Linked DNA regions of Drosophila melanogaster. The protein of the gene in region 1 purifies or fractionates together with the protein of each later gene. This does not show direct contact. Each region holds a gene or a part of one and is shown on either strand. Other genes may lie near its edges.

Evidence for each region.
Region 2: the proteins of CG7044 (region 1) and IntS9 purify together in Drosophila melanogaster (affinity purification with western blotting; one study listed by BioGRID). This does not show direct contact.

What each region holds. Positions count from the first base shown.
Region 1 is NT_033777.3:21,097,679-21,103,687, reverse strand, and holds CG7044 (uncharacterized protein), read left to right. Parts: upstream 1-1,969; 5' UTR 1,970-2,115; coding exon 2,116-2,239; intron 2,240-2,309; coding exon 2,310-2,493; intron 2,494-2,553; coding exon 2,554-3,898; intron 3,899-3,962; coding exon 3,963-4,167; intron 4,168-4,225; coding exon 4,226-4,398; intron 4,399-4,465; coding exon 4,466-5,359; 3' UTR 5,360-5,459; downstream 5,460-6,009. Other genes in the region: Tbc1d22 (TBC1 domain family member 22), read right to left, coding at 1-44, 98-266, 770-965, 1,027-1,411.
Region 2 is NT_037436.4:16,102,877-16,107,424, forward strand, and holds IntS9 (integrator 9), read right to left. Parts: upstream 2,752-4,548; 5' UTR 2,688-2,751; coding exon 2,679-2,687; intron 2,618-2,678; coding exon 1,460-2,617; intron 1,403-1,459; coding exon 605-1,402; 3' UTR 558-604; downstream 1-557. Other genes in the region: IleRS-m (Isoleucyl-tRNA synthetase, mitochondrial), read left to right, coding at 1-557; CG43295 (uncharacterized protein), read left to right, coding at 2,976-3,026, 3,100-3,552; Zn72D (Zinc-finger protein at 72D), read right to left, coding at 4,078-4,548. UniProt on the Drosophila melanogaster protein: Component of the integrator complex, a multiprotein complex that terminates RNA polymerase II (Pol II) transcription in the promoter-proximal region of genes.

The DNA.
Region 1 (6,009 bases):
GGCGGAAGATACTTCGAAAGGAGTCGCCAGCTGACAGCGCGCATCTGGAGTTCGGTTTAATTAGAATTACACAACGAAATATTTGTTCGATTCTCACCTTCCGAGGCACGCCAGACCAGCTGATCTTCTTGAGGGCCACCAAGTCCAGTTGAGGCGAGTCTAGCACCACTTGGAATTTTTCAATTTTCGTCTCGTACTCGCTGTCCTGGCAATTCGAGCTGATCTTCTGCAATTGCGGTCTGCCCGGGTAGTTCCTCAATCTAGATCTGAAATGGCAATATATATTACTAACCGTTGAAGTCTTGATTACTTTCGGTCTTAGTTCCGCGTCTCCCGACATTGCTCTGTGGGAATAGCTGGGAGTGGCTATCAGTTAAGAAAGTGAAATGCTTCAGGAGCGGTTGCCAAGTTGGTGTTAATACTCGTTAAAACGTGGCGAATGGCAATAATAAGTTAGGAGCGCCCCAATGATTAACAACATATATAGGTAATTTTAACCTAATTACATAGTAATATTGTATATTGTATATTGTAAAGTACCGTTTCAAAATTTGAATCTATTGTAAGTATTTCAACTCCCATATGACGGAATTCTTCATATCTTTAGTTTCTACTTTGATAATAAACACGTTAATGCTTTTTAAATAGCACCTAGGAAATAATTCAGAAAGCGGGTTCGATCCGCTCTACACCCCTGACTTATTTGCACAACTGCAGGCATTGGGTTCAACTTTCTTTTTGACTTCCCAGTTGAGTTGGCGCCGCTCACCTGTTTTCATTACTGTCCGGCAGAGATCTACGGTCTTCCTTGCAGTCGTCCGTCGAGCTACTGCTGACTGGGACCAAATCTGCGCCACTTTCGTTTGCTGACCGGGATGCATTATGGTTCTGGTTGCTTCGAGAGTGCGTCTCGATCACGTTGAGAGCCACCGTCTGCGACACTTGCCGGGAGAAATGAGCCGCATCTGTTGGGGGATCAAAACGAGATCAGAGGTTGAGGAAAACCATCGGGGTTGCGGAACCCACCGCCAGCTCCAACGGCCGCGGCAGCCGCCTCCGTGCTGCTGATGATGCAGAACTCGTCGTCACCCATGTCCCAGGCATCGCTCACCGACTTCTGGTACTCGGTGAAGGTGGACACCATGCCAGATCCGGGGGCAGCGCCGCGACCGACCGCTACCCCAACTGCCGCCGCCTTCTCGAGCTCCCGCTTGGGACTGGGTCGTCCGGGCACTCGACGTCCGCTGTTTTTCCAAAAGGTCGAGGAGTTTGCGCCGGGCGTTGGTCCGGCTCCACTTGCCACGGTTACTACTGCTACACCTGCTCCTGCTGTTCCTGTTGCTGCTGCTGTGGACTCGGCTGTTTCAGTTTGGCTCTTTCCTGCTAATTGCTCTACATTGTTATCCATCATACGTTCCCTAGAGCCGATTCTATGTCAGCGTCATTATATTATTTTGCATCAAAAACAGTGTGACCATGGCAACTATTTACGGCTTTCACCGCACGACACTTCTTGGTAGTGATGAGAGCGTATCGTGATCAAGTGACTGGTGCGAAACCGAACCATATTGATACCCATTACTTGTGGAGAAGAGTGAACCTAGTATAGTTCCGACGAGTCGATCAAGAGATATAAATGATTAAAAATGAAAACTCGTAATTCAAGACATTTTTCTATGCAAAAGCTTTTAGAAATATGGAAAAAAGGTATGTAATTAAAAAATATTTAATAAAGACCGTAATCTTTGAGGTATAAACATAACGAAAATGTTTTGTACAGAGTTCTTCTTTCTGCAATATTAAGTAGTATAATTAGGTAATTTTAATTAATGGTAGTAATGGTATTACTTATTAGCAAAGAATAAAAGGGAAACTATGCACCGTTATATGTTTCGATGCGTGACTTTGACCGCTCACCTGGCAACCCTGGCGAATGCGCTTTGGATTTCGACTGCAAACGTACACGGCCACTCAATACAAAACAAGTGTCTTTCGGTGTGATAAGAACCAGAACCCGCAATCAACGATTTCATTATTCGGTGGATCAATTGCAAGCTCCAAAACTATGCCATAAGGGGCAGTCGCCATTTAAGCAGTCAGTGTGGAAACAGCAAGATGCAAAAGCAAGAAGAGACGCTGTCGCGCCTGCGAACGATATTCGACATATTTTTACGCGAGAACTTTTCCACTACGAACAATGTTTACTTTGAGAAGCTCCTCACGCACTTGCAGGCCAAGGGTGAGTTTACCAATCGGAGTGGCCCCGCAATCTGCCCTTAAATCCTCAAATGAATCCCATCTGTCCGCAGAGAATGCCTTTGTGCTGCAGGCCCCATTCGTGGTGGAATGGGTGGACAGGTGCATCACGGCGGTGACCGAGGACTTCAAAAAGATCCACCCGAAGGTGATATCCTTCATGCTGAATCTGACCAGTTTTCTGGCGAACAACGAGTGGATGATCGTGCGCCTAAGAGAGCTTGATATAGTAAACAGGTAAATGGTAGGATAGAAAACCAGGCTCTAATCTCTTAAAATAATCGACTACCATTTTAGAGCAGTGAAACTACTACAGAGGGAACACAACTTAAGCCCATCGATTAAGTTAGGTGGCATACGTCTGATGAAAGCCATCACCGTGTATAGCATGGGGCTGGCCTTTCTGCGGATGCACCGGATCTGGACGCTGCTCATCCAGTATTCCAACAACGATCACACGCTGTACGTGGTGCGGGAGGCCCGCCAAGTGCTTTACAACATGGTGTACAAGTCCTGCGACAAGCTGCACGATAAGGCTGTTACCCTGGAGATTCTGTCGGAGATTATGCAGCCGATTCACGACAATCTTTATAAGAACACCGACGGCGTGGAGCGCATCCACGTCAAGGTGGACGACAACGAGATGTTGCACAAGATCTCGTCGACACTGGATCTACTGTCCTACATACTACAGCAGACGCTGGTGCTCGAGGAGCGCACCACTCTGATCATCCTGCTCAAGGAGCATCACGACTTCGAGATTACCGTTTGGAAGCTGATCGATATGACCCACAACCCGTACTTTACTGAGAAGATCTTCACCACACTGAGCAGCTACAACTTTGCCCTGCTGTTGCACGAAAAGTTGCTGAATCCGAACGCCACCGAGCCGTCGGAGGAGTTCACCGAGTTCGGGTTGGCATTCTTTAATCTCATGAAATTCCTTATTACCCGCAAGGACGGCTTGAGTTTTGTGAAGTTGGCGGAGCTCAATCATGTACTTTGGAAAAAACTTGGACCTCGTGCGCCCAAGGAAATTGTCATCCAACAAGAGCGCGTTACGTTTGAAAACCAGCTAATCTGCTTTCACATGCTGCCGTTGCTCTTCTCCATGAAGTACGCACAGAAGATCGCCGACGAGGAGAGCAAGATAGAGCTCTTCGACGCCTATGTTGTCAAGTTGCTGGAGATCTCCTGCGAACAGACCTTGCGGCTCTGCTACACAATGCGGGACAACTTCTTTTCTGCAGACGGCATGGCTGTTGGCTTGGTGACGGCCGGCCTGGCAAACAAGTGCATACATAGCCTGTTGGCCCTGGAAAACGTTCTCGATCGAGAGCAGGCGGTTACTGTGTGCCAAGCTTTGCTATATGTGCTCCGCGAGGCAGTGGCCATGAGTGTCATCACAAATAATGGGGAGGATGACTGTCACAGCGTGAGCAGCGCGGGCAGCTCCTACCTAAAATTGTACCCCCGGGGCACCGAACAGGTCGTTAACGATCCACAAGTTTTGCATTCCGTAATGGTGGGTTTGCGCACCTTGATCGAACGCTTTAAGATCACGTGGAAGGAGTCGGTGGAGACCATTGGCCTGGTCAATTGTCTGGCATTTGTCCTGGAGAACACAAGCATGGATGCTAGGGTAAGCAAAACAAACTCTCATTTCTAGCGGGTTAAAATAGTAAAATGTGATTCTTCATTTGCAGTGCACTGTCCAAGCGCTGAAGCTCGTCCAACTCGCTGTGGAGCATTTCCTTTCACCGAACATGGCTCTTTTGGTGGACAACTTGCAGGGCTCCGCGCTGGTCTGTCTGGGTCCCATTATTGTGAAGCGAATGCACGACACAATGTGGGAGGTGCGTGACACAACGCTGGAGCTTACCACCTCTATAGCCAGTATCTCCCGCATCAGTAAGCGTGTGATTATCTTAACGTAGTGCCTAACATTAATGATACGTTGCTTCTACAGAGTTTCCCGCCTTCCAACGCTTTCTAATCGACTCAAAGATACCCCCGATAGTTTACGAAATGGCCAAGAATGACTCGGAAGTCTATGTAAGAGCGTCTGCCTTCCAGTGTCTTTCCCAAATGGTCTCCATAAACCTTTTGTGGGAGAATGGTCTAAGCCAGCTCGATCTTGTAGTGAGTTAATCTATTTACACATATACTCGGAAAAAATTATTAATTAAACACTTTGAATTCTCGACAGGACCATCTTTTGTTTGTAATGTATCGGGAGACCAACGATATCGTGAGATCCGAGGCCGTGATTACGCTGATGAAGATCTACGAGCACCGCAAGATCCACGAGAAGTACAAGAACACCCTCTTCTCAACCCTCAACTATTGTGTAATCGGGGATCATCACACGGAGGTGAAGCTGAATGCTTTAAATTTTTGGCGCCGCGAGTTCTACCGCCAGTTTAGCAATCAGGGCATGATAGATGGCTCTTTTCCCACAGTGACCTTCTCTAAGGAGCAGAAGAAGATTGTCACGCTGACGGAGAAAGAGATCCAAACCAGCATTGCCAAAGTTTTTGGTGAAGTACAGCAGTACGGATATTTTGGCATCCTACTCAAGTGCCTGCGCGAGGAGACTTCAATGGAGGTTTTGGAATTCCTCATTAAAGGCGTCAAGACCATGACGGAGAAGTTCGAGCGCTACAAGGGCATAATGGAGGAGATTGAAATGAGATCGCCGCTCTCAGACAGAGAGCGGCCAAGATTCGACTTCCCGTCCCAGCCGCAGCCAACTCCGATTCCACAGCAGCCACCGGTCAATCCCACCGAGGCGGACGAAGTCATCGAGTCCATATTGAACTCGCAGGATGCACAGCTCCTGGAGAAGGCGTTTGAGACCCAGATGCAGATAAACGCGCAAGGGAAAACAGCGGAGAAGCGGCACATCGATGAGTTCTACTATAAGCAGTTCGCGGTGCCATTGCGGCAGTTCTTTGAGGAGCTCAAGACCATTGACCTGGACCAGTTGGTTAAGCAGCACCAGGAGTGGTTCGAGTGCAAGGAGAACTTTACCTCCCTGCTGGATGACATCCTCGGTGCGCTGAAGCGCGACGATGAGAACATGATTTCGGACTGTTACTAATTCCGAGCTAAGCCGTTTTCCAGTCAAAAAAAACCTCTCTGTGAAGTAAGCTAAAAGTTTTTTCCGTGAAATAGATAATATTTTTGATAACTACGTTTTGAACATAAAATGAGATTTTATTTCGCCGGCGCAGATAAAATAAATAACAATACAGTAACAAAACAATGTTTTAAATGACTAAACATATTTCAAATCAAGACGACCCATATTTAAACGTTTTTGTTCCTTTTTTTAATTTTTGGTGTGCTGGTCACACTGTTCGCGTCGTGTTTGTTTTGGTTTTCTGTTGGTGGTGACACACTTTTAGAGCGATGTGAGCCGAGTTTTTATCGATGCATCCATAAGAGAAACTACTTTTTACTTCTTACAAAAATGTTGTATAAGGTAGATTTGCCAATTTTTAAAACGCAAAAACCCGAAATATAGTAAACTTCGATATTGATAACTTAGCCGATATTATCGTATGGTGTTGGGAATCGATAGTGCCGGCACCGAGCCTTCCCACTATCGACGAGCCCATCGACTGCAGCACATCTTCAGCGCATAGATGCAGCGAAAAGCGGATCGTCTCGCGTTCGAATTTGCACGCACTGCTGCATAAATATTAAAAAAGCACTGGGAACATGCAGTTGCACAAACGGAGAGCCAAG
Region 2 (4,548 bases), on another chromosome or scaffold:
ATCTCATCAAGGATCGTCTTTATTGTGGTGATGATCACGAGCTACTGGCCATTCGTCAAACTCTTACCCACTGCTATCAACAACTCTGCAAGAGCTTATGGCCCATTGTTCCCTTCCTGGTGGAGGAAAGCTGGAGCTACTATGACACCACAGGTGGTGCATTCCACGAGCAAATTGTTCAGACTAATCCTGAATGGCAGGACACCAAAGCCACTGAAGTGATTAATGCAGCGTTCGATGTTAAACGACTTATTAACCAACAGGCTGGAGATGTTAACACCTGGCACTTGGCCGTGACCATCAAAGGAAAGGAAAGAAGCCAGCTGGATTTGCTGCGAGAACTTCACAGCCCTCTTGGAGAGTCTGTGAGCAATTCTGAATTATGCGAGATATTGCAAGTGGGGTCAGTTACGCTCTTACAGTCCCATAATAGCGACTTGGATATTGCTTTAAGTAAACTTCAGATATCACTGTGCCCACGTTGTCGTCGCTATGGTCTGGAGGATGAGCAGAAAACGTGTCAACGTTGCTCTGACGTTATGGAGGCAAAGAACTAAGCGTAATGATGTGTTGTTATTTAGGTGTAAGGAATACATTTATGTTTTTAAAAACTCTGTAAGCATTTCATGATGGTGTCTCGCAGCTTGAGCCGGGTTGTTGGCTTTCCGCCGCAGATAATATGCGTCTCGTTGTCCTCGAACTTAATGACTGTGTCCTCATTGACAAGGTTCAGAGTCAGAGCGCCGCCAGTGCGGTCTAGCTTGATGTTGGAGAAGCCATCCTGTGCCAGCTTCTTCATCACTGCATCTACATCAATGCTGCCATACTCGTATTTGACGTTCTTCAGCACATCCTCCTTTGTCGGAGCGCTGTTGCTCGAGATGGTCTCGTCTTTAACGCTATCCGCACATGGCTGGATGCAGTGGACCTTGTCCTTAACTTGCAAAACTCCTGTCAATGTGGAGAAGGTCACGCCGGCCGCCACCTCCTTTGGCGATATCTTTTGGGCCAGTTCCGAGGTAATGTAAATTCGATCCAGCTTCCGTTTTAATGGCAGACGTATGATCTCGCCGCACTTGAACGTTATTATCTTCTTATCCGGCTGTTCAATGAACAAATTTGGGGCCGAGGGATGTGGTTTTGTGTATGCCTCTGGGATGACAAGCACATTTGGTTTCAACTCCTTGATCAGCTTATTTGCCTGCTGATAATTCAAAGAGGTGTCGATGGGACAGTAAAAAGCCTTCATGGCCAGTGGTTGGAAGGGCGCCAGTACTTGCAGATACGGAAAGTCCGGCTCCGTGAATATGATGGAGTTGTTAGGGTTATTGCCCCACATCTCGATAAAGTGAACAGCGTCGCCGAAACGCAAGCTAGGATGGCCACAAAAGACCACGCAGGGCTGTAAGGAAGACAGAGAATTTGTAGTATGAAGTTTTCACAATTATGTTAGACAAACCTGCCGGAAGTCCTTGCTAAAGCCCTCGGAGAACACATGGTTATAGTGCTTCAGCTTGTTGTTGCGAAGGTAAAAGGCATGTGGGAAAGGATCGTCTGGAAGATACACTTTGTTCTGCTTGGCGGAACTAAGCCACTCGGCCAGGATATTAGAATACGCCAAGGAGCTGTCTGCCACAGGGGAAATAAAGAACATGGGAACATTGTTTAGGCCAGCGTTTTCCAAATTCTGGGTGAGGCACTCAAAGAGGTCATAGACAACGCCCGAAGGATAACAGGGAATCAAGGCAGACCCATTGTTGCGGATCGTCAAGGCCACATTCATGCAGAGCTCGCCCAGCTTCGTGTCCGGATTTACCGTCGGCGCCTGCGTCAGTCCGGTCATAATGAGTACATCGGCGTGCTTCAGCGCCGACTGATTGATGGGCCGCGGATGTGTGGTCAACGTGGAGGAACCACTGACATAGCAAATCTTTTCATGCGCCGTGCTCAGTACCCAGTTGCTCGAGCCCAGGCAGTAGCCCGAGCTGACAGGAGTGGCGATAAAAGCTCCGAGGATGTCCAGCTTCTCGTCGTAGCCCATGATGGTCACCTTGGACAGACTGCCTTGGACATCCTTAAGACTAAAGATAGTGCGCCACTTCTTGGCGCGAAAGGCTTCGCTCAAGGGACTGGGCAGCAGATGAAGCTTCTCCTTCCACAAGCGCGCGGTGCACGCCTTGGGCGACACTTCGATATAGTCCACCAGCTCCTCCAGGAAAAATCGGCCGATCTGCAGCGTTGGCTCCGTGGCATAGACTTTGCCCTTGAACCCCGTGTTTTCCGTGATATACGGCAAGGCCAGCATATTAAGATAATTCGAGATAAGTATCACATCCACTTCGCTGAAATCCAGCATTTTGTCCATGGGTAGATTAAACTCGGGCGTCGAGTCCACGAAAACCCGGCCACAGCAGTCCTTCAACTCGCCATCCATTTGGGGATCATGATCCCGACTGGGCACGAAGTTGGGCAGATTGGACCACTTCAGTGACTGAACGAAGGGCAGCGGAAGGAAATTCAGGACTGTCTGCTCCGTGAGACCGCAGTCCAGCATAATCCGCAGGCCCTTGAAGGTAATGATATAACATGGCTTGGCCAGGTCCCCGCTGAGACAATACTGCAAAGTGGATAGTCACTTCCGCTAATTAAGTTGTTATTTACTTCTCAGGATGACTTACCAATCGCATTTTATTAAACCGACAGTGCCGATTAGACGATGCAAGTTTGTTTATATTTGGACCAGGGATGGGGAACGATTTGGTTCACTTATGAACCGGAATCAGCACCCGGCTAAATCATTAACCATAGGTACCAAAATTAGTTAATTACAAATTTTGGTAAATGTTTTACTACTTGTTAAACTGTAGTCATCACGCTTTAACATTTGTGCAACCACATTTTTTTCACTCCACTTGTTGCAGTGCTGTTGGTTTCCATCCCTGGTCTCTTTATTTGGTTTTTCGCAAATTTGAATAATGTCCCAGCAAATTCGCGTGGTACAATGCATTCAATGCAAAATGTACCAGGTGAGTGCAAACAAACTGAAATATATCTTAGAACTCAATAACTACTTATATATATATACCTAATTTAAACAAGGTGGACTTCGTGAAAAAGGCAAGCACATGGCAGTGTAAAATTTGCCGCCAAAAGCAAAGTTTGCTCAAGGAATTCTTTCGAGGATCGGCAGCGGAATGCCGGGTTAAGGTGCAGCATCTCAACTTAGAGCGCGGAATGCAGGAGGAATGTCTGAACACGGGCTTATTCCTCACGGCAAAGCAACAGCTCGAAGAGGAGAAAGACTGCCAAGAAAAAGAGGAAAACACCACACCTCAGAAGAAAACAAATAAATGGGCAAACTATGTGGATAATACCATTGAAACTACTCAAAAGCCTGCAGCAAAACCTACGAAAACCGATGAACTTTCCGACGAAATCTCTATGAACTTTAAGAAAACCAGGAACACAGGGCCACGATCCTCTAAACGTTCCGCTGAAAATATGCCAACAGTTACTAAGAAAATTTGCTCTAAGTGGAACGACTTCTTGTAATTCCTTAAAAATTATATATCATATATATAAATATATATTTGAATTAATTTCAATTAGAACTTATTTATAAAGCGAAGAATATTATCAGTGCTAGATTATCTCCAATTAAGATTTCCAGTTACGTGAATGAATTAAGCTTATCTTTATTAAAAAAATAATTTAATTATAATTGTTCAATACGTTTTATTAAAATCCGCTTCGTTCTAGTATTTGTGTATATGAGTGTGAGGGCCATAATGTTCACATTCAAACTGAATACATTGCCTTGCCTTGCACTAATGCTAGAAAAATACAAGTTTTATGATCCACTAAATATTGTTAGTTAAAGTTGGGGTAATTTGGGATTCACTAATCGCCGATTGGGCAACATGTTGGACATGCTTAGCTCCTTGTGCCCCAATCGGTTTGAATACTCGTGTATAGATTAGAGTTGGTTATAGTTAAGTGACGCCTGGTCGCGCTTTTATCTTGAGAGAAATTGTAATATTAGTAGCCGACTACGTGTATATAACCTATTCTCGCCGCTTAGGTGCTGGCAGGAGTGCCTCCGACACCCTCCTTCTTGGCCACCTTCTCATCGGAGCCGGTCTCATCGATGTCATTGGACTCGGTCTCCGTGCCGGGTGCACCACCTGCCTTGCCCGATGACCTACGTCGCTTGCGGTTGACACGCCATGGACGCATTGGAAACTTCATCGCCGGCAATGGCTCCATGCCAAGCACTTTGTAAATCTGTCGAAAGGCAATGTAGCGCAGGAAGAGCTGTGCGGACACAGTGAGATCCTCGCGCTCCTGTTTGGTCAACTCGAGTAGAGCGTCTGTGGGGTCCTTCTCGCAAGGATCCAGCAGGCCCGGTCCGTTGATTAGAAAGCCTGACGATAAGGCCTCCATGATGCGACGCATGCAGTCACCGGGCGAAATGGGAAAGCCAGCCGACGAGATGACCTTCTCTACGAGGAGCTCCAAAGACCATTGGGGCAGCGATTGCCAGGAAGA